Linked DNA regions of Macaca fascicularis. The protein of the gene in region 7 interacts with the protein of the main gene of each other region in a pairwise test. Links are inferred from orthologs where the notes say so. Each region holds a gene or a part of one and is shown on either strand. Other genes may lie near its edges.

Region 1 (4,005 bases), on a different chromosome or scaffold from region 7:
CCATCTTGGGGCCGGGGGTACACAGCTTCAGGTAGAAGGCTAAGTATTGAAAATTTAGGCCAGGCACAGTGGCTCACGCCTTTAATCCCAGCACTTTGGGAGGCCAAGGCAGGCCGATCACTTGAGGCCAGGAGTTCAACAGCAGCCTGGCCAACATGGCAAAACCCTGTCTCTACTAAAAATACAAAAATTAGCCAGGTGTGGTGGTGCACGTCTGTAATCCCAGCTACTTGGAAGGCTGAGGTGGGAGAATTGCTTGAACCCGGGAGGTGGAGGTTGCAGTGAGCGGAGATTGGGCCAGTACACTCCAGCCTGGGTGACAGAGTGAGACTGTCTCAATAAAAAAGTTTAGTACCACACAGGGAGTCACTCTTCCCACCAAGGCTAGGGATAGAGAACAGAGACTTGGCCAAGCATGGACTCCATAAGCCCTTTTTGTAATATAAGTATACTAAATGCCACGGAAACCAAATACATTTATTAAATCTACTCTTAGCCAAGCAATAAAGATGTCTACAGAGTTCACAACCTGCAACACTTAACCAGGGAATGCTAGGTAAAGGCAACTTCAGTTTAACTGAGTACTCTATTTCAAGTGGGTAACATGTCCACTGGTTGGCAGCTATCCAGCTTGGAAAACTGTAGAAGATGCTGTTGCTACCCAGATTGTTCTGTTCAACAAGTGGGCCTGAAGCCTGAGCAGTGTAGCCTGCTGTGTGGTGAGCAGAGGGTCACTCCATTGCTTCTGCAGCCTCCTCACCTGACTCTTCCTCCTCCTCTAGTAAGCAGCTTCTTGTCACAGACTTCTGGATAGCTTCCCGCTCTCCTGGAGAAGGCAGATAGGGATGAAAGATGTCTTTGGGAGTGATTTCTTCAGCTCGAGGTCAGTCACTGCTCAGCGGGCACTGGGCTAGTATTGCTTACCTTCATCAGTGCAGTTCTGCAACAAGATCAACAGCTGTCTCCTGTTGTACTGAATTAGGAACTTCTGACATGTTCTTATTGTACCTGGCATGTGAGTTACTGCGGTCAACAGCTTGTGAAAGGTCTCGACCTTACTTTCAGAGGTAGGGGAAGTGTCCTGTTAGCGGGACAGCAGGAAGACCCACCCACCAGTCTAGACTGAACTCTGAACATGTCACCTATTGAAAATCAGTAGCCATATCACGTCACTCCTACCTCCCACATGTAACGTGTTGAAAAAGCATGGGTAACGGTGTCCTTTGTTCTCCAGGTATGTGATGAAGGGAAGAGCTGACCACACAAGCTGATAGAACTCTTTTCTGCATCGAAGTAGCACTATTCCAGTATAGGCATTGAGGTATCGAACTACAACAGGGAAAAAAAAAAATCATTTCGGAAAATTTTGCTGTGTGTGGTGGCTCACACCTGTAATCCCAGCACTTTGGGAGGCTGAGGCGGGCAGATCACTTTACGTCAGGAGTTCGAGGCCAGCCTGGCCAACATGATGAAAACCCGTCTCTACTAAAAATACAAAAATTAGCCGGGCGTGGTGGTGCATGCATGTAATTCCAGCCACTCAGGAGACTGAGTCATGAGAATCGCCTGAACCCAGGAGGTGGGGGCAGCAGTGACCTGTGATCTCCCTGCTGCACTCCAGCAGCCTGGGCAACAGAAGACTGTGTCTCAAAAAAAAAAAAAAAAAAAAAAACTTTAGAGTAACAGAGCACAAGTGGCACGTAGGATCTATCAGCGAGTAAAAGAGAAAAGCCAAAACACCCACTGTGTTGCACACCACTCAGAACTGGTGAATGAATTTAGGATTTAAAATGCTTTCTAATTCACTAGTTAATTCAATAAATAGGAGCAGGTAGGAGGCGATCCATTTTAATTTAGGAAAAACCCTCGCCTGAAAAATAGGCTGTTTTACTGCAGTTGGGCTCTGTAATTCTTGTAGCAGTCAGCTGAGTCTCACCTGACTTAAGGATGAGTTAAGCCTATCTGCATTTAACTCTCCAGAAGTCAATCCTCAAGCAAGGTAAAAGGGGGAACTAATATAAATGGTGTGGAAGAAGGGCCCCGGGCCCCTCTTTGTCCCGGCTCATCCTGTATTCACATATATTGACGATCATGTGTTCTGTACTTTACCAACTAAGGGCATTCCCAAGGATACTTTCGACAATTTTTTTCCATGTGATGTTAATGTAATCGGTCATAATAGCTCTTACTAGGAACTAGACACAGCTTCCCTCATTTAATTCTCTATCCTATCAAATTCAATCACAACCAATTACAGAAATTACCTGTCAAGCAGGCAAAAAGAGGCCTCTAGCTCAAAGACCCACTGCCTTCGGGCCCCTCCTTTTAGCTCTCTGCTAATTTCGGACTCGTGTGGATCTCTCGCTTGCGGTCCCCGGCGCTTAAAGAGATACCTTACAAAAAACGATGCACGGGCTTGGCCACTCGTGCCCCTTCTTTCTTCCTCCGGCGCCTGCCCCCTCCACGTCCCGCCATCCTCCCGGGTTCCCCTCTTCCCCCAACGCTCTCGCACCCGCGAAGCCGATGGAGCAGGCGGCTGCGCCGAAAGTCCCGTGCACCCTGGCGATAGTGTCCCGTACGAGGCTGCTCAGAACTCGGTCATCGAGGCTTAGGCGGCAGCGGGGGTCGTCAGACACCAATTCGCAGAGCAGGTACCTGCGGCAGACGAGAGGAAGGTGGGCGCTAGCGGCGCCGCGGGGACCTGGCAAGGCGCTGGGTGGGTCTGGAAGGGAATGCTTACCTGTGCTTGAACCGCACCATAGCTGCCTCCGCGCCGTCGGGACCGCTGTGCAAACCGGATGTGGGTTCCGTCCGCGGCCCGTGGGAAGCTTACTTCCGCAGCCTTTCAGCCATTCAGAGAAGGAGACAGGACATGCGGGCGGAGCTAGAAAGTTGAGAGGCCGAACTCTGTGTCAGTCTCCCTCAAGCCCCACCTAACTCTGCGTTTGTAAGCGCGCATGCGTCCTGCGGAGGGTCTCTGACTAGTTTGAGGGCTGAACTTCGGCTTGGAGCGGCTGGGAGCGGTTTGGAGCGGCTTGCAGCTGCGATGGGTGGTTTTGCTGCACACCGGAGTTTACAATACTGTGTAGGATGCAACCGCTGCCCTTGGGGCCCTGGGAACCTTGCAGCACAGGTATGTATGCGAGTACATTCTCTCCCCAAGGTGAACCGTGGAGCTTTTGAGGGCAAGACCCTGCACTTCACAGCCCAGGGATTGACAAACGGGAAATCGGACTCTTATTTTCAGGTTTGAGCTCAGTTTAATTCTTCCATGCAGCTAAATGTGCTATTGCTGTTTGGGCCTTTCAACAATCTTAGGGAGGCGAGTGTGCTGTCTCATTTTTTGTTCGCAGAAACAATACGTGGTCATTGTATTTTCCATTTCTGTTTTCCTTTCCTTTTTTTTTTTTTTTTTTTTTTTTTTAACAGAAAAGCACAAAGAAGCAAATAAATTATAATCCCAGCACTGAGAGAGAATAACTGTTGTCGTGTAGTGTGTTTTCTTCTGTCATTTTCCCCCTGGGCCAGCGGTTCTCAAAGTGTCGTCTGGGGACCCCTGAGATTTCCTAAACTCACTCGGTTTAGGAGTCCCCGAAGCCAAAATTACTTTCATAATAATACTAAGATGTTACTTGTCTTTTTCATTCTCTCAGAGTGAACAGTCAAGTTTTCCAGAGGCTGCTTGACGTGATGACATCACTGCTCTAACAGCTAATGGAATTGTGTATTTTTTAAAAACATTTCTCAACTTTAATGTCCATAGTAAATATAACCCACAAAACTAAAAGCTCTTGGGGATCCTCAGTAACGTGTGTAAAGGGGTCCTGAGACAGAGAAAACAGTTTGAGAACTATGCCCTCTGTTAAATTATGTTTTTTCTTTTATTTTCTTTTTAAGTATTTTTTTAAAAAAGTCTTATGTGGTATTACATAAAATACATATTCTTTTTTTTTTTTTTTTTGAGACGGAGTCTCGCTCTGTCACCCAGGCTGGAGTGCAGTGGCC
Region 2 (3,084 bases), on a different chromosome or scaffold from region 7:
TAAATTTTATGTATTATTATGATTTATTTTACCAGTGTCCTGAAGAGAGGACAGAAAGATATATTCACAGCACTAGCTACTAATCCCTGTCTCAAATCCTCTTTCATAATAAGTCAGGGCATAAAGAAATAAGAAATGAAATCCAGCAGGCCATCATTTCTTTTTTGCATTTTTCATCATGGTTTCTCCTTCACTCTCAATCTCCATGTAAAGTCCCTATCCCATGAACTTCATGCCAGCCAGTGTGCCCCCTCTCCACCCGCCCCTGTGGCCACCACCCTCTGCCTCCTGCACTTCAGTCAGAGTCTGCAGCTCCACCCCAGGCCCCAGCATCAGGCTGGGAATTCAGCAAGCCTCAGAGGCCCCCAGCCAACTCCCCGGCCTCACAAGGCCTTCCTGTTCAGAGGCAATTAGGAAGTCTCGGTGTCTTTATCCCAGCCAGTTCCTCCCCACAGGGCCCGTGCCCTCTCTGTCACCGTTGGAAACTGCCCCCTCTAAATCACTGATTCAAACACTCCACACTGGCCACCACTTCCCGCCCCCCCCCCCCAACTTCAGCTCTCTGGGGATAGCTTCTCCTTGATGTCTCACAGACACCTACAACCCAAAAAGACGGAAACTGGAAGGAGTCAGAAACATACTCATGGATTTACATCCTTTAGTAGCACTTGTTGATGACAACAGCAGATATTCCTCAGCTGTGACACATTTTTGCCCTGGCTAAGCCTGTGAGGATCCCCTCAAGGCTCTGGGACCCAGTCTTCAGTCATTCTTTCCGGATTTGGGCATCTCATCAAACACAAAGCGGGTTCCATCACTCTCAGTGCGGTGGGGCTCATGGTGGTTGTCCACTTCTCTCTCCCCATCTTGTGAAGTGTTGCGCATCCTGCCATTGTTGATGGCCTCCAAGCCTACCTGCTCCATGATGTAGTCAGCAAGGCAATCGAGCAGGGTAAGGAGGATATTTATTGTGGAGGAACTCTGGCTTTGGGCATCTTGTTCATCTTGCACAACTCGGTCCACGAAGCTCATAGGGACCCGCAGCTCATTTCTAGACCGGTCTTGAATCTGGTTGTTATTTGCAGAGGAGTTCTTACGGTTATTTTTCTCTGACATGATATTTGCTGGGTTTGGCTCTGATCAGCTCTGCTTGATTCTCCAGCTCAAGTAAGTCTCTGAGGACGCTGGTGCTGCCTATTGGATCCCTCTGCTCCAGGCCCTGATTGGTCAGGGAGCTAGCTGCCTTTGTGACATCCCTAGGCTTTGTGATTTCACTGGTGTCCACTGGTCCCTGATCAGACCTCAGCTTAGAAATGTCTGTGACACTGATCTAGTCACCCTAATGACTGAACCCTGATTTTGAGGGAACTATAACTCTTTACCTGATTTTGACATTATAAAAATAAAAGTGTGTTTCAATGGAAAACTTTGCTCTATCTTTAGGACACCACTGCAGGTTATCTGATTCTAGCCTTACATTATCTGTGAAGTCTTTTATAGCCTTTTGTTAGTTGTAGGTGGCTGATACATGTACAGTATATTCTTTAGTAGAGGTTCAGTTGTCTTCACCTTATGAAACCAGTTTTGCCTCCATGTGCACAATCATTTAATATTACTGATGAATATTCCCATATCGACTCTTTGGTTTCCCTTTTGAAGCAGTCATAACATCTTTTTCTTTTAGCATGTGTTCATTTCGTATCTGTATGAGTGTCATGATTTTACCCTATTTGAAAAATGCATTTTATTTATTTTTTTATTTTTATTTTTTATTATTATACTTTAAGTTCTAGGGTACATGTGCACAATGTGCAGGTTTGTTACATATGTATACATGTGCCATGTTGGTGTGCTGCACCCATTAACTCGTCATTTACATTAGGTATATCTCCTAATGCTATCCCTCCCCCCTCCCCCCTCCCCACAACAGACCCCAGTGTGTGATGTTCCCCTTCCTGTGTCCAAGTGATCTCATTCTTCAATTCCCACCTATGAGTGAGAACATGCAGTGTTTGGTTTTCTGTTCTTGCGATAGTTTGCTGAGAATGATGGTTTCCAGCTGCATCCATGTGCCTACAAAGGACACGAACTCATCCTTTTTTATGGCTTCATAGTATTCCATGGTGTATATGTGCCACATTTTCTTAATCCAGTCTGTCACTGATGGACATTTGGGTTGATTCCAAGTCTTTGCTATTGTGAATAGTGCTGCAATAAACATACATGTGTATGTGTCTTTATAGCAGCATGATTTATAATCCTTTGGGTATATCCCCAGTAATGGGATGGCTGAGTCAAATGGTATTTCTAGTTCTAGATCCTTGAGGAATTGCCATACTGTTTTCCACAATGGTTGAAAAATATATTTTAATCATTTTTCAATTAATAATAAGATGCTCAATAAGTTTACCTGTCAGTGTCAGGTAAACAGTTGATAGAGAAGTGCATCTTGTGCTCAGTTTAAGCCCAGATGTATATTTCTTGTCTCTCCTAGGTGAAGCAAAAGCACTAACAGATGTTTCTTTTCTATTATTTAATTTTCCTTTCTAGTAATTCTGTGTTTTCCCTTTGACTTTGGTTCATTTACAGCCAATAACTTTGCCATTCCATAGGGGAAAAAGTAGAAAGAACAAAAGAGTCTTAAATCCAAACAATTTCAAAATCCAACCATTAGGTTTCAAGGCCTGGGAATATTCTATGACTTAAGACTCCTCCCTTTGATCACTCTGATCCTATGACTTCACCTGGGGTAATAAATCTGCCCTCTGGCCTCTAGGTTCTGCCCTCAGTCATTGTTCCTTTATTTTGAATGGTAGCATATGTTTACAGCTGAGTAGTTTTATCAGCCTGCTTTCTCCTGTCAAATTTTGGGAGTCCTATGGCCTTCTTTCATTTCTTCCTCTATTTGTCCCTTTCCGTCTAAGCTGGCATTGTTTCTGCTGATATAACATTCTCAAAAACTTATAGGTCTTTTATGTATGTCATGGGGATTCATGTGATTAGACAAGAGGTTTCTTCAAGATCCTTCATAGACAATCCCTTGCTTATTCTGAGAAGCACACCCCATATCTCTTCAAAACACCA
Region 3 (3,500 bases), on a different chromosome or scaffold from region 7:
ATCAATGGCTAATCAGTCATGAGACTCTACTCCTCCCACTGACATATGAAACTTCAATAACCAGCCCAGGAGGCCTAGAAGTGAGGCTGCTCTTGGTGAAACCAGAATACAGGCATGTCTGCATGGGCAACCCCCTGCTGCCACAGGCAGGCAGGTCTCCTCTGAATTGAGAAGAGCAATTCCTGCTCCAGGGCCTGCAGTGTTAGGACTCTGACAATTATAAGCTTGCCAATCCTAGTTCCCAGATCCTAAATTTGGTCCTTTTTAAAAATTCCCATGCAACAGGGATTAAACCAGCTTTCAATTGGCCCTGGAATATGGAAGGAAGGTTGGTATTTAAACCGAGAATTTTCTCTAAACCCAGTGAAGCTGTTGATAGCTCTGGCATGTCTTTCCCCAAATCAAGTCTCAGAAAACCTGTCTGTCTCTAGAGAAAACTTCAAAGCTGCATTCGGTGTGATAACTACAGAAACCAAGATGGGTGCCAGAACTGCTCCCAGCCAATGCATTTAACAGGGAAGCTGACTCATTTTACTGTGTAGCCCCCTAGTGTTACCAAAAAAGTGAGAGACACCCTCTTTAGCCTTTGGAGAGAAAAACGGTATCTGTTATTACTCTGCAGAATTAACTCTGTGTAATAGGAGTCAGACGTAAACTTAGGACACAGGGCCCAAGGCCCTTCTTTCCTTTTTTTTTTTTTTTTTTTGAGATAGAATCTTGCTCTGTCATCCAGGCTGGAGTGCAGTGGTGCAACCTCGGCTCACTGCAACCTCTGCCTCCCAGGTTCAAACGATTCTCTTGCCTCAGCCTCCCACGTAGCTGCGACTACTGGTGTGTGCCACCACACCCAGCTACTTTTTGTATTTTTAGTGGAGATGGGCTTCCACCATGTTGACCAGGCTGGTCTCGAACTCCTGACCTCATGATTCGCCCACCTTGGCCGCCCAAAGTGCTGGGATTAGAGGTGTGAGCCACCGTGCCCAGCCTTTTCTTTCCCTGATGTTTTGTGAAGCCATTTACCATGCTTAGATTGCAGGGAAGGAACTCAGGTGGTAGACTGGGCGAAGAAAGCCCATGGATGTCCCTAGGTCTGCCTCCAACCCCATCCCCCGACTCAGCAGACTTCAGTTCAAAGGCCACAACCTGATCTTGGCCAGATCTGGGTTCCCAGATCACTGCTCCTCTCAAAAAGGGAAAGAGGGAAGAAAAAACATTCGCAAAGCCTCCATAGATACTTTCTAAGCCTTGGCATCATGTGAATATTATGTCTCGTAGGGGCCACACTGGGAACTGGGGCAGGGCAGGTCACTGCTTCTCATGCCTCTGTGTTTTGCTTGTGCTACTGTCTCCGCTTAGAAAGCTAACCGCCTAGGGAACCTTTAAGGCTCATTCAAATGTCATTTCCTTGATGAAGCTTTCTCCCATACCTGCACCTCCCCAGGCCAAATCAGATGTGTCCCCTCCTTTGAAGTTTCATAGCACCCTGATAAGGAACTCATCACACTATCTATTTGCCTTTCTATCTCCTCCGCCAGACTGTTCATGCTGTAAGGGATGAGATAATGTCTTATTTATCTTTTTCTCTTGAGGCCTAGTGTAGTATTCCTATAAATGCTTATGGAGTGATGGGAGGTGAAAAGGAAGAACAATGGGATTCTGCCAGAATCAAGTAGCTCTTGGAGGTGAAATTCTGTGGGGGCTTACATTTAGGCACAAAACCCAGTAGCATACAGCTGTTAGTAAAGTGGTAAAACTTCAGTTCCAAAGAGCCAACTTTCAAAGGCCGCTCTGCCCTCCCACAGGTCAGAATGTATTCCTTGGGCATAACAGGCACAGACACATGTCCTGCTCCGCCTCTGTGACAAGCCTGCGGCCTCCATTCTGGCTGACCAACCGAGGGCCAGTTTCAAACCACAGCTGCTTGCAAGTCAGCATCAGATTCCTGGCCCTACTATCCTATTTATAACTCACTGTATACTCAAGGTTTTTTCAACACCTGGACAGCAACGGAAGTGTCTTGACAACAGCACCATCTAGTGATTGGTACAGCAAAACGTCTGACTGTGTGTGTTTTTTAAAATCACATCTTTATTTTACCCCCACAACCAAGGCACACATGCTTAGCCTCCCACTTCCCTGCTGCTCAAATAACAGTTGAGGTTAATTCTATCTCAACTCTTCCTCTCACAGACTCTCTTTAACTCCTTTTACTCCTCCCCATTTATTCCACCTCTTCCCTAGTTCAAGAATTGTTTATCTGACTCTTTCCAAAAAAAATTTGTTGAAGTTTGGAAGTAAATAAGTCCTTTCTTGGCCGGGCGCGGTGGCTCAAGCCTGTAATCCCAGCACTTTGGGAGGCCGAGACGGGCGGATCACGAGGTCAGGAGATCGAGACCATCCTGGCGAACACGGTGAAACCCCGTCTCTACTAAAAAATACAAAAAACTAGCCGGGCGAGGCGGCGGGCGCCTGTAGTCCTAGCTACTCGGGAGGCTGAGGCAGGAGAATGGCGTAAACCCGGGGGGCGGAGCTTGCAGTGAGCTGAGATCCGGCCACTGCACTCTAGCCCGGGCGACAGAGCCAGACTCCGTCTCCAAAAAAAAAAAAAAAAAAAAAAAAAAAAAAAAAAATAAGTCCTTTCTTGAGGGGTAGGGATTCTCACACCCACTCACCTTTTCGTTCCCTAATGAGAACAATTCGTCGTTCTTTCACTTCTGAGCTCAGATTATTTACCATCTTATTAATGCAATTGTCCAGAACCAAAGAGTACGTTTTGGACTCAATGTCCTTCCGACAAATGGGGCATTCTATCTTCCGCTTCATCCATTCATTGATACAGTAGGAGCAGAAACTGTGGGCACAGTTCAAGGTGACAGCCTACAACAGGAATGTGAACACACATATCAGAACTTTCATGCTTACTTTCTCAGGATGCTTCTGATCTCAAAGTTAGGTCAGGAGTGAATTTCAAAGGCCAAATGGAAAATCAACCACAATCCCATCTTGAGGGCTTACAAAGAGTATCAGAATCATTCTTGGGGTTGGGCCAGGCGTGATGGCTCATGCCTATAATCCTGGCACTCTGCAAGGCCGAGGTGGGTGGGTCACCTGAGGTCAGGAGTTCGAGACCAGCCTGGACAACATGGTAAAACCTCGTCTCTACTAAAAATATGAAAATTAGCCAGTCATGGTGGTACACACCTCTAATCCCAGCTACTCGGGTGGCTGAGGCACGAGAATTTCTTGAACCCAGGAGGTGGAGGTTGCAGTGAGACAAAAATCACGCCACTGCAGTCTGGCCTGAGTGACAGAGGGAGACTCTGTCTTTTAAAAAAAAAAAAAAAAAAATCGTTCTTAGGGTTGGGAAATTTTAAGCTTTATGTTAGATAATTCTTTTATTTTCTCAAAGTTAAGGGATTTGTCTGTTTCAGTCCACCAACTCAGACCACGCTCCCAGTGTGGGCTGGCCACCTTGCAAACAAAATGTTACTGGATATGAG
Region 4 (3,021 bases), on a different chromosome or scaffold from region 7:
TTTCTGTGCTGTCTACACCCTCTTGCCTCCCGACCTCCGCACTCCCTTCTAGCACCCCCAACGGAAAAGCCAGAGGGAACAATCGCCTCCTGGTGGTGGTACGAGGTAGCGCACCGTCCGGCCCGGGTCCTGCCAGCCAATAACCTCGCAGCGTGTGACGGTGTCTCCTTGCACCCCAGCCTCATCTATGCAGCAAGAGACCAGGGACTTTACCAAAGTCACCCTTGCGGGCTGGGCCCTCCACGCATCCCCCTCCCCACCCCCATGGAACAGAAAGCCATGATGTTTTTAAGCAGAACCAGCGAAACCCAAGCCCCTCCTTCCTCTGGTGTTTTACAACTATAAAGGAGGTGAAGGGGGAAGAAATGACTGAGATCTCTGGCGCGTCAGTCTGAGTTGAGAGTGAGGTGCTCTAGGAGAGTCCCGCTTAAGTCAGGGAGATGGTTCCCACTCTTGGGCAAGTGCCCAGCCACATATGAACACATCACACACACAGCAAGCAATGGGCAAAAGAACAAGTTGCAGTCAATGGCTGCAGAGGGGTGTCTGGGGTCCAATGTGGGCTGCATTTTGTGGGTACTGAGGGAATGGGAAGATGCTGCTTCTGGGGCAGCTGGTGGGTTGGAGGTTGGGGGCTGTAATTAGCAGCAGCCTTAGAATTGGGATGCCTTTCAATCCCTCCTGGCCCCTTATCTCCGTGGGGCAGTCACAGGACGTCATCCATTTTATTCAAAGTTGAGACTTGCAGCAGGAGACCCTGCCCTGCATGGAGTAGGGGTCCTCTGTTGACAAACTTCTTGGTTTCCAGCTCTTCCCCATCTGCAACAGGCCTCTGGGTAAGTTCTCTCTCCGCAGGACCCCTTCCCTCCACGATGGGAGGAGGGACAGAACACAGCTCACAGCCCAAGAGCTGGGCAGACCCAGTCCAGCCGTGACTGGAGCTGGTTTTGGCCTGGGGCTCATGAAACCCACTCAGTGCAGGCATCAGCTGCCCAGAGAGCCCTGGGCTGTCAGCAGCTGGGCTCCACATAGTTTCCGGGGAAGAATCCAGTCCCCTCTGAGCTGATGCCCTCGCACCAGCCATCGGAGTAGCGGCGAGTGACACAGATGACAGTGCCCTCAGAGAAGGAGAGCTCATTGTCCTTCTGGCCGATGTATGGGTACAGTGTCACCACTGCAGGGCAAGAGAAGAGGGTGCTGTGAGATATGCCTCTTGCCCTCTCCCCCCCCACCCCCACCGCCATGGGGATGCAGGGTCTCAAGTACTAGACTCTAGGGACCATCTTGAGGGGCTTCCAAGCCTTTAGGACCCCTCCCCAGCTTAGTTAATATTTAATACCAAGCCAGCTGCCCTCTCCCCAGTTCTGTTCTGAACTCAGTTCGTCAGAAAAATTGTGTAGGGAGCCCGGGGGGTAGATTCACACCTTTGCAGAGGGAGGAGAATGGGGGTCAGGACAACAGAGGCAGACGCTGGGAAGTGGGATCCGGTGCCCCTCAGTCCCAGAAGTCAGGTACCTTTCTCCAAGTATGAGGCAGGCACCCAGCTGGGCTCATCAGGCCCAAAGCCTGGTGGGGGTGGAGGCAGCCCTAATTCATCTCCATCCAGGGGTGGAGGAGGAGGCAGGTCCAGTGGCAGGGGCAGCTCTTCATCTTGGGGGAAAAGCAGAAAGGCTGTAAGTGTGGCACAGGAAGCTCCTTCAGTGTGTCAGGGATCTGCTCGAGAGCTGGGCCCCAGAATCCACCCATCTCAGCCAGGCGCGTTGGGAGGCCAAGGTGAGCAGATCACCTGAGGTCAGGAGTTCGAGACCAGCCTGGCCAACATGTGAAACCCCATCTCTACTAAAAATACAAAAATTAGCTGGACATAGTGGCACACGCCTGTAATTCCAGCTACTCAGGAGACTGAGGCAGGAGGATGGCTTAACCCAGGAGGTGGAGGTTGCAGTGAGCTGAGATCTTGCCAATGCACTCCAACCAACCTAGATGACAGAGTGAGACTCCATCTCAAAAGAAAAGAAAATAAAAAGAATGCACCCATCTCATGCAATCTTCCTCCAGCCCTCTCCTGTCCTGGTCCTCCCACGGTGTGCTAGCGCATAGTAAGTGCTCAGTAAACCCTGAAAGATCCAGCACTAGAGGACAGTCAGACTCTACCTCTTATTAGCTGGGTGGCTCTTGGGCAAGTCACTGAACTTCAGCTTCAGTGGCTTCATCTATTAAGGAAGAGTGCTAAGGACCCTCTCGTGATTAAGTTTATTTTGTTTTGTTTTATTTTATTTTTTTGAGAGGGAATCTCGCTCTGTCACCCAGATTGGAGTGCAGTGGGGTGATCTCAGCTCACTGCAGCCTGGAGGCCTCCCGGGTTCAAGTGATCCTCCTGCCTCAGCCTCCTGAGTAGCTGGAATTACAGGCATGCACCACCAGCCAGGCTAATTTTTGTATTTTTAGCCATGTTGGCCAGGTTGGTCTCAAACTCTTGACCTCAAGTGATCTGCCCTCCACAGTCCCCCAAAGTGCTAGGATTACGGCCGTTAGCCACCCCACCTGGCCTTTAGGATTAAGTTTATTATTATTATTTTTGAGAGGGAGTTTCACTCTTGTTGCCCAGGCTGGAGTGCAATGGCCGGATCTCCACTAGCCGCAACCTCTGCCTACCGGGTTCAAGCGATTCTCCTGCCTCTGCCTCCCAAGTAGCTGGAATTACAGGCATGTGCCATCACGCCCGGCTAATTTTGTATTTTTAGTAGAGCCCGGGTTTCTCCATTTTGGTCGGGCTGGTCTCGAACTCCCGACCTCAGGTAATCCGCCCGCCTCGGCCTCCCAAAGTGCTGAGTTTACAGGCATGAGCCATCGCGCCCGGCCAGGATTAAGTTTAAATAAGAAAATGGACGAGAAGCTTCGAACACAGGGTCTGGTATACAGCAGGCGCTAAGTTATGTTAGTTCACTTCCTCCGCCTCCTTTCGCTCCCGTGCTGCGCTCCATGGAGGAGGCATTCACTGAGGCTGGCTGGGGCAGATCC
Region 5 (4,059 bases), on a different chromosome or scaffold from region 7:
GACTCCGTCTCAAAAAACAAACAAACAAACAAAAATAATTAAAAAAATAAAAGAAGGCTGGGCACGGTGGCTCACGCCTGTAATCCCAACACTTTGGGAGGCTGAGGCAGGCGGATTACGAGATCAGGAGATCGAGACCATCCTGGCTAACACAGTGAAACCCCGTCTCTACTAAAAATACAAAAAAAAATTAGCCGGGCGTGGTGGTGGGCACCTGTAGTTCCAGCTACTTGGGAGGCTGAGCCAGGAGATTGGTGTGAACCTAGGAGCAGATCTTGCAGTGAGCCGAGATCGTGCCACTGCACTTCAGCCTGGGTGACAGAGCGAGACTGTCTCAAAAAATAAATAAATAAATAAATAAAAATAAAAGAAGCCTGCACCCAGCCTGCAGTTTTGCCTGCTCTCAGTTGGCTAGTTGAGAGCAACTAATCAGGAAGCAGTAAAGTCTTTGGATAAAGTAGCCTACATCTTCATGTGGCCCCATGGCCAGCCCAGCTTATGCAGACATTTGGGTTTTCAACTCCAGCCTAGTCTAATTTTCTTACTGTAAAGAGAAGTATAAACTAAGACCCAGAGAGGAGAAGGGACACACCCGAGATCACACAGCAGGTAGTACTGGCTGGCACAGGAGCCCACCCTGGCCTCCCATCTCCATTTTCTCAAAGAGAGAACAGGTCCCATTCCAACCCCCAATTGCTCCAAAAGCCAGAAGGCCTTGTGCTGGGAACCCCTGCATCTCTCTATGCCGTGGCCCCCACATCCCTGGCTTTGATTACACTAGAGTGACTTGCTGTTCTGAGAAGTACCGTTTTCCTTTGAATCCTGGCGGAACAGACTGGTCCAGAGAACGTCAAGTCCAAACTCCCTCCCCTCACCAGCCTCACAAAGAGCCACCCTCTGCTCACCCAAACCCTTGGCTTTTTTCTTCTCCTGTGGCCTTCGGTGGTCTCGGTCTCCGACCTCATCACTCTGCCGGATCTCTTCTGTGCCTGGATCCCCCTTGGAGGGTTCCTTCTCTCCATTGACTACTGGAGTTGGTTCAGGCTCCCCATTCCTTGCCACATAGGTCCGGGACTTCTCTGCATCTTCGGGTTCAGCTGGCTCACCCTGTGCCCCATCCTCGCCAGGCCCCCCCTGGTTACTGTCCACACAGTATGTGCTCAGTATGTCTTCCAATTGGCGACTCAGCTCCTCAGAGACATCACGAAGGGCCCCAGACTGAGCCGTTTTGGCTTGAGCCCCTACAGCAGGAGAGGATGAGGGGTAGAGTGAGAAACAAGACAAATTATACCACTGGTTGGGAATTTTCAGGTCCAGCCAAACTCATCAGTTTGAGTTAAATGTTGCCTAACTTTTCTTTTTTTATGGAAACTGAGAAGCAAGAATGGAGTATTATTCAGCAAATCTAGTTCCTGTCAGAATTTAAATTCGAAACATCTTTTGAATCAAGAAATTATAGTAATATAATATAGTTAAGCTTCACTTCTGTTTACTTGTAAAATGACACAACTATTTCTCACTACCACTCGAACATGTTTGTTATGATCATAAAAGTATGTAAAGCATCAGCACACAGGGATGGCATGGTGCAACTTCTAGTCCATCTCCTTCCCCCTCACAAAACCATTTTTTACCATTCAGATCATTCTAGAAATGCCTCAAACAGGAAGGGCAGTTAGCTGCTAGTGGCTGAGGTGTTTCAAACCGGACCTGGATTTCCTGACTGGGTGCCCCGTTTGGCTGCCACCTGACTTAATCCCGTTAGAGGTTCTCTCCAGAACTCTGTTCCTGTGCTTACAGGGAGCGGCTCCGCCAACTCGCCAGAATTCGGGGGTGACCGCGGCCCCAGCACTGTCCTCTCATTCTATATTCCCTCCTCCCGGACAACCTGGCTTCGGCCTCTAAGTCCAGAAGCGAGGCCGGCCCCACAGCTCCACCCCCTGCCCGCTGGCAACGCAGAGCTGGCACACACCCTCCGGCTTCCGAGGAGCCTGGCTGCTGCCGGGACCTTCTGCTTCTGCTGCAGGAGCCGCCTGGCTGGGCCGCTCCTGGGCTCCCTCGGGTCCTGCTTCCGGTTGTCCCGGGCTGCTTTTTGGGTTGGATTGTTTGGCAGCCCCGTTCTTTTTGTCTTGGTTCTTCATTGTGATGAGAGATGCTGGGTCAGGAGAAGATCCTTTAGAAACAAACACAGTTGCTATTTTCCAGACTTCGAAATTCTTCGCAGCCTGGATCAGAAAATCCCCACAGCAGGCGCACGAAGCTTCTTAAACGGACCGGCCGGCCCTGGCAGAGGGCGCCAACGGCTCTCGGGTCTTGGAGGGTCAGGGGAGCCCGGCGTGCCGGGACAGGCTTTCGGGGCGCAGCTCCCGCAGCGGGTGAGGGAAGGGGCCTCTTTTCTCCCTGGAGCCACTTCTCTACACAACCGGCCCCCTCGCGGCAGGCCGGGCCCGGGATTGGCTCAGGGCCGGAGACTGACGTGGCGGGACTCCCGGCGCCGGCGCCGCCCCCGCCCCTCAGGCCCCACGTGCGCCCCCCGCGCTCGCAGCCACCCACGCCCTGCGCGCCCTGCAGCCTCGAGGCACGCCCGCGCATGCGCACCCCCCCCCCCCCCAGGCAGGCCACCCCCCCTCCCCCCGTCCCGGCCGCCGGCCCACGCGCGGAGTTGGCGTGATTTCCCCACAGGCCGAGAACATCCCGGCCCGCACACCCTCAAATAGTCTCGCCCAACGGCTGCCACGGCACGTACCTCACCGCCGACGTCCGACGGCTTCCCCAGCTCTGGCCTCGCACCGGAAACCCCGAGTAACCGCTGCCGGCGAGCCGCCTGCTCCCGCCTCAGCCAATCAATAGCCGGCGCCGGCGCGGAGCTTGCTGGGAAGGACTAAGCGAGGGCGGCCTCGGAGGCGGGCGCGCCGGGAGGGCGGGGCAGGGAAAAGTCTACGCGTTCCTCCGTACGCAGGGGCTATCCGCAGTCCCGAAGTGCATAAGGGGCTGTAGTCCTCAGAGTCCAAAAGGAGCCCGTCATTCTGCACGAGTGCCCACGTCAACCTTGTTTCTATCTCGCAGAAGCTATGTTTCAACTCCCGAAGGCTTTGCGCCTGGCTATTGTTTCCTGCAGGCCTCCATCAAACCTTCCTCCCTGGCCGTGAACAAATGTGACTCCATCCAGGAACTCCGAGGACTCGGGAAGAGGGATAAGAGTCCTGAACTGAGACTCAGGAGACCCACACTCCAGTCCCAATTTCATCACGGATTTGCTGTGTGGCTGGACGTTCTTTTCTCTCTCTGGGCCTCGATGTCCTTCTTCCGAAGGAGGCTTTTAATAACAATAACAGTTCCTTGAACGCTTACTGTGTGCTTTCCCAGTATCTAATAGCTTGGTTCTCATAACCACTCATAGAAATAACTACTATCTGTTATCCCCATTTTACGGAAAAGGACAGTAAGAGAAAGGTTAGGTAACTTGTCCAAGGTCACATGGATAGTGAGTGGTTAAAACAGGGATTCAAAACGTAAGTCTGACACCAGCACCCAGGTAACTATTCGGCTACCCTGTCTTTTACCCAGAAGAAACACTACCACAGCAGGTTTCCCTGAGGCAGTCAAGGTAACTTGTGAAAGTAGGTCATATTTTCCCCTCTCCATTACCGTTTTGGCAGTCAGTTCCTCAGGAAGGTGCTGAGTCAGGCTTCAGGCATATTCATGAGCCTTTTCTCTACCCCATACTCTACGAAGTCTCACTGGGGTTAAAGTAGAAAAAAACCCCACAATTCTCTACACGTGAGATCACAATTCTGTATCCTCATTGTTTCTGGATAATGAAGTCAAACCCAACAATCCTTGTGCCTAGAATTTGAAGCCTAAGAGGTTTGGCTTTTGCCAAACCCAAAATTTTTTGAGGCCCAGTTCAAAGGTCACTTCAGAGCCTTCCCAGTGCTCTGCAATCCGTACTTGCTCCCTAGGTCTGCAGAGTTCTGTTACAGCATTAGCAGTGAGGTGTTGAAATTACTATTTGCTTATAAGTCAGTTAATTTTGCAAGAACTGTTGGCTAAATATTC
Region 6 (4,226 bases), on a different chromosome or scaffold from region 7:
ACAGTCCTAGACAAGGGTGGGACTCTCATCCATAATCCTAAACCACAGGGTGGGACCTGAACCCACAGTCCTTATGATGAGTTCAAAGACAATTAAAAGTACAGGTACGTATTAACAAGGTACTCACCAGAAAGATGTCTAATCCAGAAGCAATTTCTTTTCCCAAAGGAAAAGTGCCAAGGGAACCTGAAGTGCCATGGTAGAGAAGCAGGAACCCTATAGTTGAGCCTCTGAACGCACTGGTCTAGGTGGCTACTCAGGATCAGTGCAGGGGGCCTGCACACCACTAGGGGCAACAGTACCTTGAACAGGCTGTTCGTCTCACCTGGGGTTCTAGTTTGTTATCAAGCAAAAGGGGCTCACTGCCCAATATGCTAGAAGCCAATACTGACACCAAGTTTTTGAAAAAAAGAAAAGCTTTATATTAAAAGTCACCTCTGAAGGAGGCAGGAGTCAAGCTCAAATTTGTCTCTCTGTGCTGGCATTAAAGCAGTATTTTTATTGGAAAAGGTTCAGGGGGTGGATTCTGAGATTAGCAGGTGATTGGTACAAGGAAAAGGGAGGTCTGGAAAGTCCTTGGGCATGCACAGTTATTTCTTCATGTTAACTCCTGAGTTGCATGTGCAAATTCAGGGGGAATTAGTACAAAACATGTGGTGGAAATTCAGGCTACGACATCAGCAAGCTTATTGTGTGCAAGCTCCAGTCAGCCATTTTGGTTCCAACCAATTTCCGCCAGGTTTTTCTAGATCTCACAAGTGGAGGGAGTTTCAGCAGCTTAAATTTCTTTTCTTATCTGCTATCCCGAAACTCAAAAATTTCTGTTAGTTACTGATTTCTTACTCTTTGGGACTTTCCATATCTCCCATTTCCATCTACCAATCACCTACTAATCTCGGAATCTACCCCCGGAAACTTTTCTAATAAAAATACTGCCTTAATGTCAGCACCGAGAGACCGGTTTGAGTTTGACTCTTGTCTCCTTGGGAGTTGACTTTGAATATACAAGTTTTTCTTTTTTAAAGAACGTAGTGTTTTAGTATTGGCTTCTATTGCATTGGGCAGTAAGCCCCTTCAGCTCTATCACACTAACTCCAGGTAGATAGCATCAGAATGAAATGGAATTGTAGGGCACACAGTTGATGTCAGAGAATTAAGGAATTGAGTAGTGTCAGAAAACACCTCAGACTATACTTTCTCGCTTGGTGTGGGAAGAGTTCAGTTGTGTTTCCTTCTTCTTGAGTGACCGAACTCCAAGAAGACGCCACTTCTGGAGAGAAACTAGGGGTCTCAACTTAGCCTGGCAGTGAGAATACAAATGGCAGCTGGGATGACCCAACAGGGGGCTAATGTTTGAGCTATTGTGTGTCACACTGACCCTGACCGGCCAAGTAGTCACAGCCCCCACAGGTTCTTCCTGCCTGTCAGATGCCTCATTCCCACCTGTGATGCTCAGACAGAAACCATGAGCCCTGAAAAACACCCTATTGTTTTGTGATGTCACCTCTGGAATGTTCTGAGTGTTTTGGTGACCAACTTCTGCATAGGACCTATACCTGGCAACTCACATTGGTATGGCTTTTTACTTGAGATAGAAATAATCATCTTAGGCAAGCAGGTACAGTTATCTCCGCGTCAAAGACTTTCAAAAGTCTTTTACATCAACTATAATATCTAGCTTAATATCTGTTCAGAGATTGATAAACCGTCTTGCCAGATATCGTCTACACATTCTTCCAGACTTTCATAATTGTACATAACTGACAAGAGGGAAATAAATGAGGAGAAAGTTCTATGTTTTTTAGGTGAGCAATTGAGGCCCAGAGGATGAGTTGGGAAGCAGCAATCTTCTTCTTTTCTCTTTTCCACAGCACTCAAGGCCAAATTTTACAAGAAAAAGAGATACCAGATCTGAAAGCCTAGAAATTCCAATCAATGTGGTTCTACCTCAGGTAGGGATAATCACAGAGGATGTAACCTATCGGTGTTAGCCAGAATAACCCCCTACCTCCTCCTTCAAAACTCTAGCAAGATGTTGTAGAATAAGCAGAGATAGGGCTTCAGGTTCTAGTTTGGGTTGGCTGCCAGCAGGCAGCGTGCTGGGGAAGGCCACATAGCCCCTGTGGGCCTTGGGTTCTTTTTCCCACGAATGAGGTGGTTGGGTCAGATGGTTTGGTAAGAACTTCCAGTCCTAACATTCCAAGTTTCTATGATACTCTGAAGTAACCCAACCTTCTCAAAACGAGACCTTTTGGTGCTTAGTGTTGTGCATTCACTTTGGATTTCTAGAGGAGAATTAGAACTGGGACTTGGAATCAAATGCATAAGAATGAATCCATGAGAAGAAAACCTCCTTCATGGACAGAGGGGTACAGAGTTATTTGGAGTTGTCAAGAGAATTAAGCCCTGCTATGCACCAAAGACAGATGTAGGGGCCATGGGCATAGATGCTTTTGTGGTCAATGAATTGGTGAAGTCCTCACAGGCTAGAGATTCTCAGGTCTCCTCCTGCCTGAAATCAGCTCTTTCCTTAGTGGAGTCTTCTTGATTGAATTGTGTCTACTGATGCTATGTCACAAAGGGGTGGCTTTGCTTTCTCCAGAGTCACCTAAGGCCTCATTGGAAGACCAGGGCCATGCAACCAGAGGGGTTGAAATGTAGGATGGAGGAATCCAAAGCAGAGGTAACTATCTGAGAGCTCTGTCCAGGGATGTGTAGGAGGAGGATTGACCACTGGTGAGCATTCCAGATATAATTGTAACAATCTAGGCAAGTATGTTCAGTGGGAGGCAAACATATGGAAGAAGAAAACATCCTGGATGTTTATTTTCACATTATCTTTATAACTTTGTAATGAACAGTCACTTTTCTATGACTTGAATCTTAGCTAGAATATAAGATAACTTCCCCCTGATCATTCGACAGGATAACAAGCTGTAGGAATCTTTTTGGGCCTGATTCTTTCCACCTGAAATATGCAGGGAGTTGTGTTGGCCACTGCTTCCCCAAGAGTGGGTGTTACTGCTGTGATGCCTCATGGCCCATATAAACCAATCTTTTCTTCCAGAATCCTGGGGCCTCTCAACTTTACATGCTTTGAAAGTACCTCAGATGGCTGAACGTTCTCTGATAGTAACCCTCAGTAATGTTGGCAAAGTTGGTGTTTAAGAAACTTGGTCAGGCAGAGGATGCCAACCTAGAGGTGGGTGTGAAGGAGGGGATAGGATTTGAAAGAGTAGTGGTCATGTGATAGAGAAATTGGAATGATGTTTCCATCAACACCTACCGTAACTTTCCCTCCCCAGCTCCCAGAAACAGCCCAGCAATCAAAGAGAAGAGAATGTGGTTTAAGACAGCTCAAGCTTGTCTTGGGGCTGCCTGATTACTGTTCTGGAGGACCTGGTGCTGCTGCTGGGGTCCTGTGGGGGCAGAGTGGGTGAAGAATGAGAGGATATCTCCTGTCTGGGCATGTGTACCTCTCACGGGAAGGTGTATACACCTGCCAAGAGGGCACAAGCCATGCACCAGGTTTTGGACACCTGTCAGGATGCTCAAGACTGGCACTCTGGGGACGGGTGTGGGTGTCTACAAGTAGATAATCTGAACCAAAATACCACCAGGGCTGCGAGAGGGACCAATGTGCTCACTCGGCCTCCCTAGATGAGATGGTGCATGGCTTAGGGGACAGGGTTGATCTGGGAAGCAAGGAGAGGAAGAAATATCGACTGAATGTTAGTGCGATCATGTGTTGAGCACGGTGCCAAGTAAGTGTGAGGTAGAGATTTTACAGGTACAGGAACTGGCAACCCCAGGAACCCCACTAGTAATGGCAGAGATGGAGGAAGGGGCTTGAACTCCAATCAGTGCCCATGTTCTCCGCTATACCAGGGCACATGCCACTAAGCTGGGCCACGCTGCATCTTAGCTCTGTGGTTCTTCTTTTGCTCTTTGGAGATGGAGTCTTCTCCCCGCATCTTAACCGCTCATCTCTGGGCTTCTTATTTTGTATTTGCCAAAAGCTACTCTATTCTGGGATGGAATCCACTTTCCATTTGTTTCAGAAAGGACTTGTGGCAGCAGCTCTGTCTCTAGAAAGTGCCTCTGCTTCCCAGCTCCCAGTCCTGCTGTGTGTTTAGGCTTCTCAATTACATTGCAAATGCCTGTGATCACTACTTGTTATCACCCTTAGGTCTTTTCAGGACGCATTGATTTCCCGTTTTTCTTCC
Region 7 (3,500 bases):
TGGCCTCCCAAAGTGCTGGGATTACAGGCGCGAGCCACCACACCCAACCTCAAATAGTCTTTTAAAAAAAGCAGAGTTGCAGTCAGTGAAATGGGAGTTTTTATATGTAGTCTCTGTTTAATCTTTCTCTTTCTTGCTTTTCATCCCAGAAAACATCCATGGAAGCTAAGAGGCACTTTTAAGAAATTCTAGAGCTCCACAGAGTAGATTTAGGAAACTACTGATCTAGTGGGTTTTTTTTTTTTTCATTTTACAAATGAAAACTTGAGACCAAAAGGCCCACTGACTTATCCAGAAATCACATAGTGGAAGAGTTATAAACAAATAGAACTATAGTTTCTGATTCTGGTGTGGTCTTCTGGTGAACTAGGGAGTTTTTCTAATGTCTATGAAGATATTTAAACTTTTTGATGATTGACTATATTTTTCCATCTCTCTGGACAGCCATCTGTTCTCCAGCATATCCTTTGCTACCTGTTTTCCACCTGATACCTGTCTTACTGGATCGTGACTTACACCAGCCCTATAAATTACTTTAGTACTCTTTAGTTAATGGCTTGGTTTTCCTTGTCCTCTCAAAGGTGGCCATTATTCCCCTGACCAGGTGGGCATTATCATTTGGAATTTTAGAAATAAATTGCTCCCAATTACTACAAGAGTCTGTTTCCTCTGCAGCTCCTTCGTGATCAATTTAATTATAAACCAATTTTGACAAAAAAGCAGTTTATCCAATGTGGGTTTGCAGAATGGAAAATCCAAATTGTTTGTGATATTTTGAATTGTGTGATGAAAAAGCACAAGGAATTAAGTAGTCTTCAGAAGGTAACTTTTGAATAGATTTTAATGCTGATGTATGATATTAATAGATGGCTCAGTATTTTAACACATAAAATCAGTACCCTAGACAGCAGATTATTTCATAGTGTAATTACCGTATTATTCAAAGATTTGAGTAACCTTATAAAGCTTGATGTTTATTTTAAATAGTACTCTCTTGTTTTATACACCTGTGACTGGAAACTCCTAGTGTTAAACTAATAGTTCAAACATAATGCATTTTCATTATTTCTTAGTTTTTAAAAGTCATGTAGTCTCATTATAGTCTCATTATTTGTCAGTTATATTTCATATATGAAAATTTAAATGTTAATGGAATTTTAATATATAATTATGCTTTCACACAAAATTTGTTATTTTGACTGACACCTTTTTTTTTAGATTCCATCACAACAAAGAAAGAAAATCAGTTCTGGCAAGTCAGAACCTTCTCTGAGCAATGAGAAAATATCTGCAGAGGCTGTTGGCGTTGATACCAGTGGCAGATTTGTGACTTCAGGAAAGGTATGCAACCACAAAGAAAATATATTGTTTAAGAGTTATCTAATTAATCCAATATACAGTTTTCACTTTTCTGATTGGCACCTGATGAAACATTCTAGTTAGATATTGGAGTGTAGGGATTTTTAACAGTGGATGCCAAATGTTTTTGGGCAGTATTCCTGAAGTTATAACAGTAGGATAGAAATATAAAATTAAATAGGTGTTCTCTTTGTATTTCTAATTTCTAATTCTGCCTGATTTCCTAAACAGAAGAGTAGTGATTTAGGAAGATATCTTATGCAGTTGTCTACATTTGCTCTTAATTTTGTTCTGGTCTTCCTAAAACATGGGAACATATGAAGAGCCTACATTAGCAGTAGTGATAGCTTATAATGATTCATTTATGTACATTATATTTCTGTAACCAAGTATGCATTATCCAATGATTGGTAGTCCCTACACGTATTAACTGGTTTTCAGTTAATGTTTTGAATATGTTCTTTTTCTTGAAAGATAATTTTTCTGCCGTTATCTGCTTTGAGCAGCTGTGGCAAATTGAATCTAACGCATTTAGAGCTCCAGTGTATCTATCACAAAGGGAGATTTAAGCTAAAATATTGTTTTATATTATATTTTCAGCTGTTTTCCATCTGGAGAAAACTCTTTCTGATTGAATGATAGAATATCAGATGAATTATCAATGGTGTAATTAAGTAAAGGATGTGAATACTTTCTGACTGAAGTGTAATTTAGAGTATTATTTCTGCCCTAATCCAAAACAGATGAGTTATGTAAACAGAATCTATTTTAAAAATTTATACATGGGCCTGGTGCAGTAGCTCACTCCTGTAATCCCAGCACTTTGGGAGGCCAAGGCGGGTGGATCACCTAAGGTCAGGAGTTCGAGACCAGCCTGGCCAACATGGCAAAACCTCGTTTCTACTAAAATTACAAAAATTAGCTGGGCGTGGTGACAGGTGCCTGTAACCCCAGCTACGCAAGAGGCTGAGGCAGGAGAATCACTTGAACCCTGGAGGCGGAGGTTCCAGTGGGCCAAGATCGTACTACAGCAGTCCAGCCTGGGTGACAGAGCGAGACTCCATCTCAAAAAATATATATATTTATTCCTTTGTACCTTAAAAAACTGAAACTTTATTATAAGAAAAGGTTCTTATGCCACTTCTTTTTAATGTGCCTGTTTTGCTCTAGGTAATGAGGACAATATAAAGAATGATACAGAGCTGAGATTTTTGAATAAATGCATATAGTTTTTGTACACTTGCATCTCCAACTCGTCTAACTCTTGTTAGTTTTATTTATTATTTTCTAACTGTTAAGTGATATATCTTGTATTCTTCCCCAACTAGAAGGAACATATATAAACAGGGATTTTTTTAATACTGATTTTTTGTGCCTTCATTTTGCTTAGCACAGGATTAGGTACACTGTGAGCACTTATTAAATATTAGTTGATATAATGTACTTTTCAATCTTCTATTTCAGTATGAGAGTTGAGGGGACAGTCTAAATTGTCCTAGCCAAGAAAAATGTAAACTTCAAAACATTAGACTTATTTTTAATTTTCTTAAAGCACAGTTTTCTTTATCTATTAAAATTTGTATCAGATCTTTATCAGAAATTCGAATAAGTATTAAAAGTTCTCAGATTTAGAAAAGAGTCTACAAGTACATTTCTTTGTTTACAAGCAAAAGTTGAGTCAATATTAAAGCAAATTGTCTCCTCTCCCGGTGCCTTATATAGTATGCTGTTTGTGCTTCTGAAATCACATATGTTTTTGTAGTGTGTATGCAAACTGTAGAATAGGAAGCAGGTAGAGGATTTCTAGGTAAATGCATAGCGTGACCTAATGCTTTTTTTGTCAGGACTTTTTCGTTGTCATTATTAGGTTTGAATTGTTAGCTAAAGGTCTGATAAATTGCAGTTTGTTTAATAGAAAAATTGTAATGAGCCCTACTCATAGAGCCAGGCTCTATTTTGATTATTTGAAGTGAATTATTCGGCAATCTTTTTTAAAAATAACTTTGTATTATGGAACATTTCAAACATTTACAAACGTACCCATCATCCAGTTTCAACAGTTTATCAACTCTTTGCTCATCTTGTTTTGTCTTTATTTTAAAACAAATCTCAGACATAATTTAATAAATATTTCAGTGCTT

Evidence for each region.
Region 1: the proteins of CEP44 (region 7) and POP5 interact in binary tests that used the Homo sapiens proteins (3 or more experiments, as listed by UniProt). The two-hybrid records come from large-scale screens. The link is inferred for Macaca fascicularis from reciprocal best matches to the Homo sapiens genes CEP44 and POP5.
Region 2: the proteins of CEP44 (region 7) and H2AP interact in binary tests that used the Homo sapiens proteins (3 or more experiments, as listed by UniProt). The two-hybrid records come from large-scale screens. The link is inferred for Macaca fascicularis from reciprocal best matches to the Homo sapiens genes CEP44 and H2AP.
Region 3: the proteins of CEP44 (region 7) and RNF8 interact in binary tests that used the Homo sapiens proteins (3 or more experiments, as listed by UniProt). The two-hybrid records come from large-scale screens. The link is inferred for Macaca fascicularis from reciprocal best matches to the Homo sapiens genes CEP44 and RNF8.
Region 4: the proteins of CEP44 (region 7) and ABI3 interact in binary tests that used the Homo sapiens proteins (3 or more experiments, as listed by UniProt). The two-hybrid records come from large-scale screens. The link is inferred for Macaca fascicularis from reciprocal best matches to the Homo sapiens genes CEP44 and ABI3.
Region 5: the proteins of CEP44 (region 7) and TXLNA interact in binary tests that used the Homo sapiens proteins (3 or more experiments, as listed by UniProt). The two-hybrid records come from large-scale screens. The link is inferred for Macaca fascicularis from reciprocal best matches to the Homo sapiens genes CEP44 and TXLNA.
Region 6: the proteins of CEP44 (region 7) and CBY2 interact in binary tests that used the Homo sapiens proteins (3 or more experiments, as listed by UniProt). The two-hybrid records come from large-scale screens. The link is inferred for Macaca fascicularis from reciprocal best matches to the Homo sapiens genes CEP44 and CBY2.

The regions. Positions count from the first base shown.
Region 1 is NC_088385.1:127,617,210-127,621,214, forward strand, and holds POP5 (ribonuclease P/MRP protein subunit POP5), read right to left. Parts: upstream 2,801-4,005; 5' UTR 2,761-2,800; coding exon 2,741-2,760; intron 2,659-2,740; exon of another isoform or gene 2,656-2,658; coding exon 2,513-2,655; coding exon of another isoform or gene 2,394-2,512; exon of another isoform or gene 2,265-2,393; intron 1,330-2,264; coding exon 1,180-1,329; intron 1,059-1,179; coding exon of another isoform or gene 1,009-1,058; coding exon 925-1,008; intron 827-924; coding exon 732-826; 3' UTR 457-731; downstream 1-456. UniProt on the Homo sapiens protein: Component of ribonuclease P, a protein complex that generates mature tRNA molecules by cleaving their 5'-ends. Also a component of the MRP ribonuclease complex, which cleaves pre-rRNA sequences.
Region 2 is NC_088395.1:37,930,048-37,933,131, reverse strand, and holds H2AP (huntingtin-interacting protein M), read right to left. Parts: upstream 1,889-3,084; 5' UTR 1,117-1,888; coding exon 763-1,116; 3' UTR 501-762; downstream 1-500.
Region 3 is NC_088378.1:134,270,005-134,273,504, forward strand, and holds part of RNF8 (E3 ubiquitin-protein ligase RNF8), read right to left. Parts: intron 2,878-3,500; coding exon 2,673-2,877; intron 1-2,672. UniProt on the Homo sapiens protein: E3 ubiquitin-protein ligase that plays a key role in DNA damage signaling via 2 distinct roles: by mediating the 'Lys-63'-linked ubiquitination of histones H2A and H2AX and promoting the recruitment of DNA repair proteins at double-strand breaks (DSBs) sites, and by catalyzing 'Lys-48'-linked ubiquitination to remove target proteins from DNA damage sites.
Region 4 is NC_088390.1:57,494,318-57,497,338, forward strand, and holds the end of ABI3 (ABI gene family member 3), read right to left. Parts: intron 1,651-3,021; coding exon 1,516-1,650; intron 1,175-1,515; coding exon 1,011-1,174; 3' UTR 501-1,010; downstream 1-500. UniProt on the Homo sapiens protein: May inhibit tumor metastasis. In vitro, reduces cell motility.
Region 5 is NC_088375.1:202,849,163-202,853,221, forward strand, and holds the start of TXLNA (alpha-taxilin), read right to left. Parts: upstream 2,801-4,059; 5' UTR 2,747-2,800; intron 2,176-2,746; exon of another isoform or gene 2,174-2,175; 5' UTR 2,142-2,173; coding exon 1,973-2,141; intron 1,242-1,972; coding exon 906-1,241; intron 1-905. UniProt on the Homo sapiens protein: May be involved in intracellular vesicle traffic and potentially in calcium-dependent exocytosis in neuroendocrine cells.
Region 6 is NC_088391.1:24,906,511-24,910,736, forward strand, and holds the start of CBY2 (protein chibby homolog 2), read left to right. Parts: upstream 1-1,426; 5' UTR 1,427-1,497; coding exon 1,498-1,572; intron 1,573-1,871; coding exon 1,872-1,952; intron 1,953-4,226.
Region 7 is NC_088379.1:179,043,570-179,047,069, forward strand, and holds part of CEP44 (centrosomal protein of 44 kDa), read left to right. Parts: intron 1-675; coding exon 676-822; intron 823-1,218; coding exon 1,219-1,341; intron 1,342-3,500. UniProt on the Homo sapiens protein: Centriole-enriched microtubule-binding protein involved in centriole biogenesis. In collaboration with CEP295 and POC1B, is required for the centriole-to-centrosome conversion by ensuring the formation of bona fide centriole wall.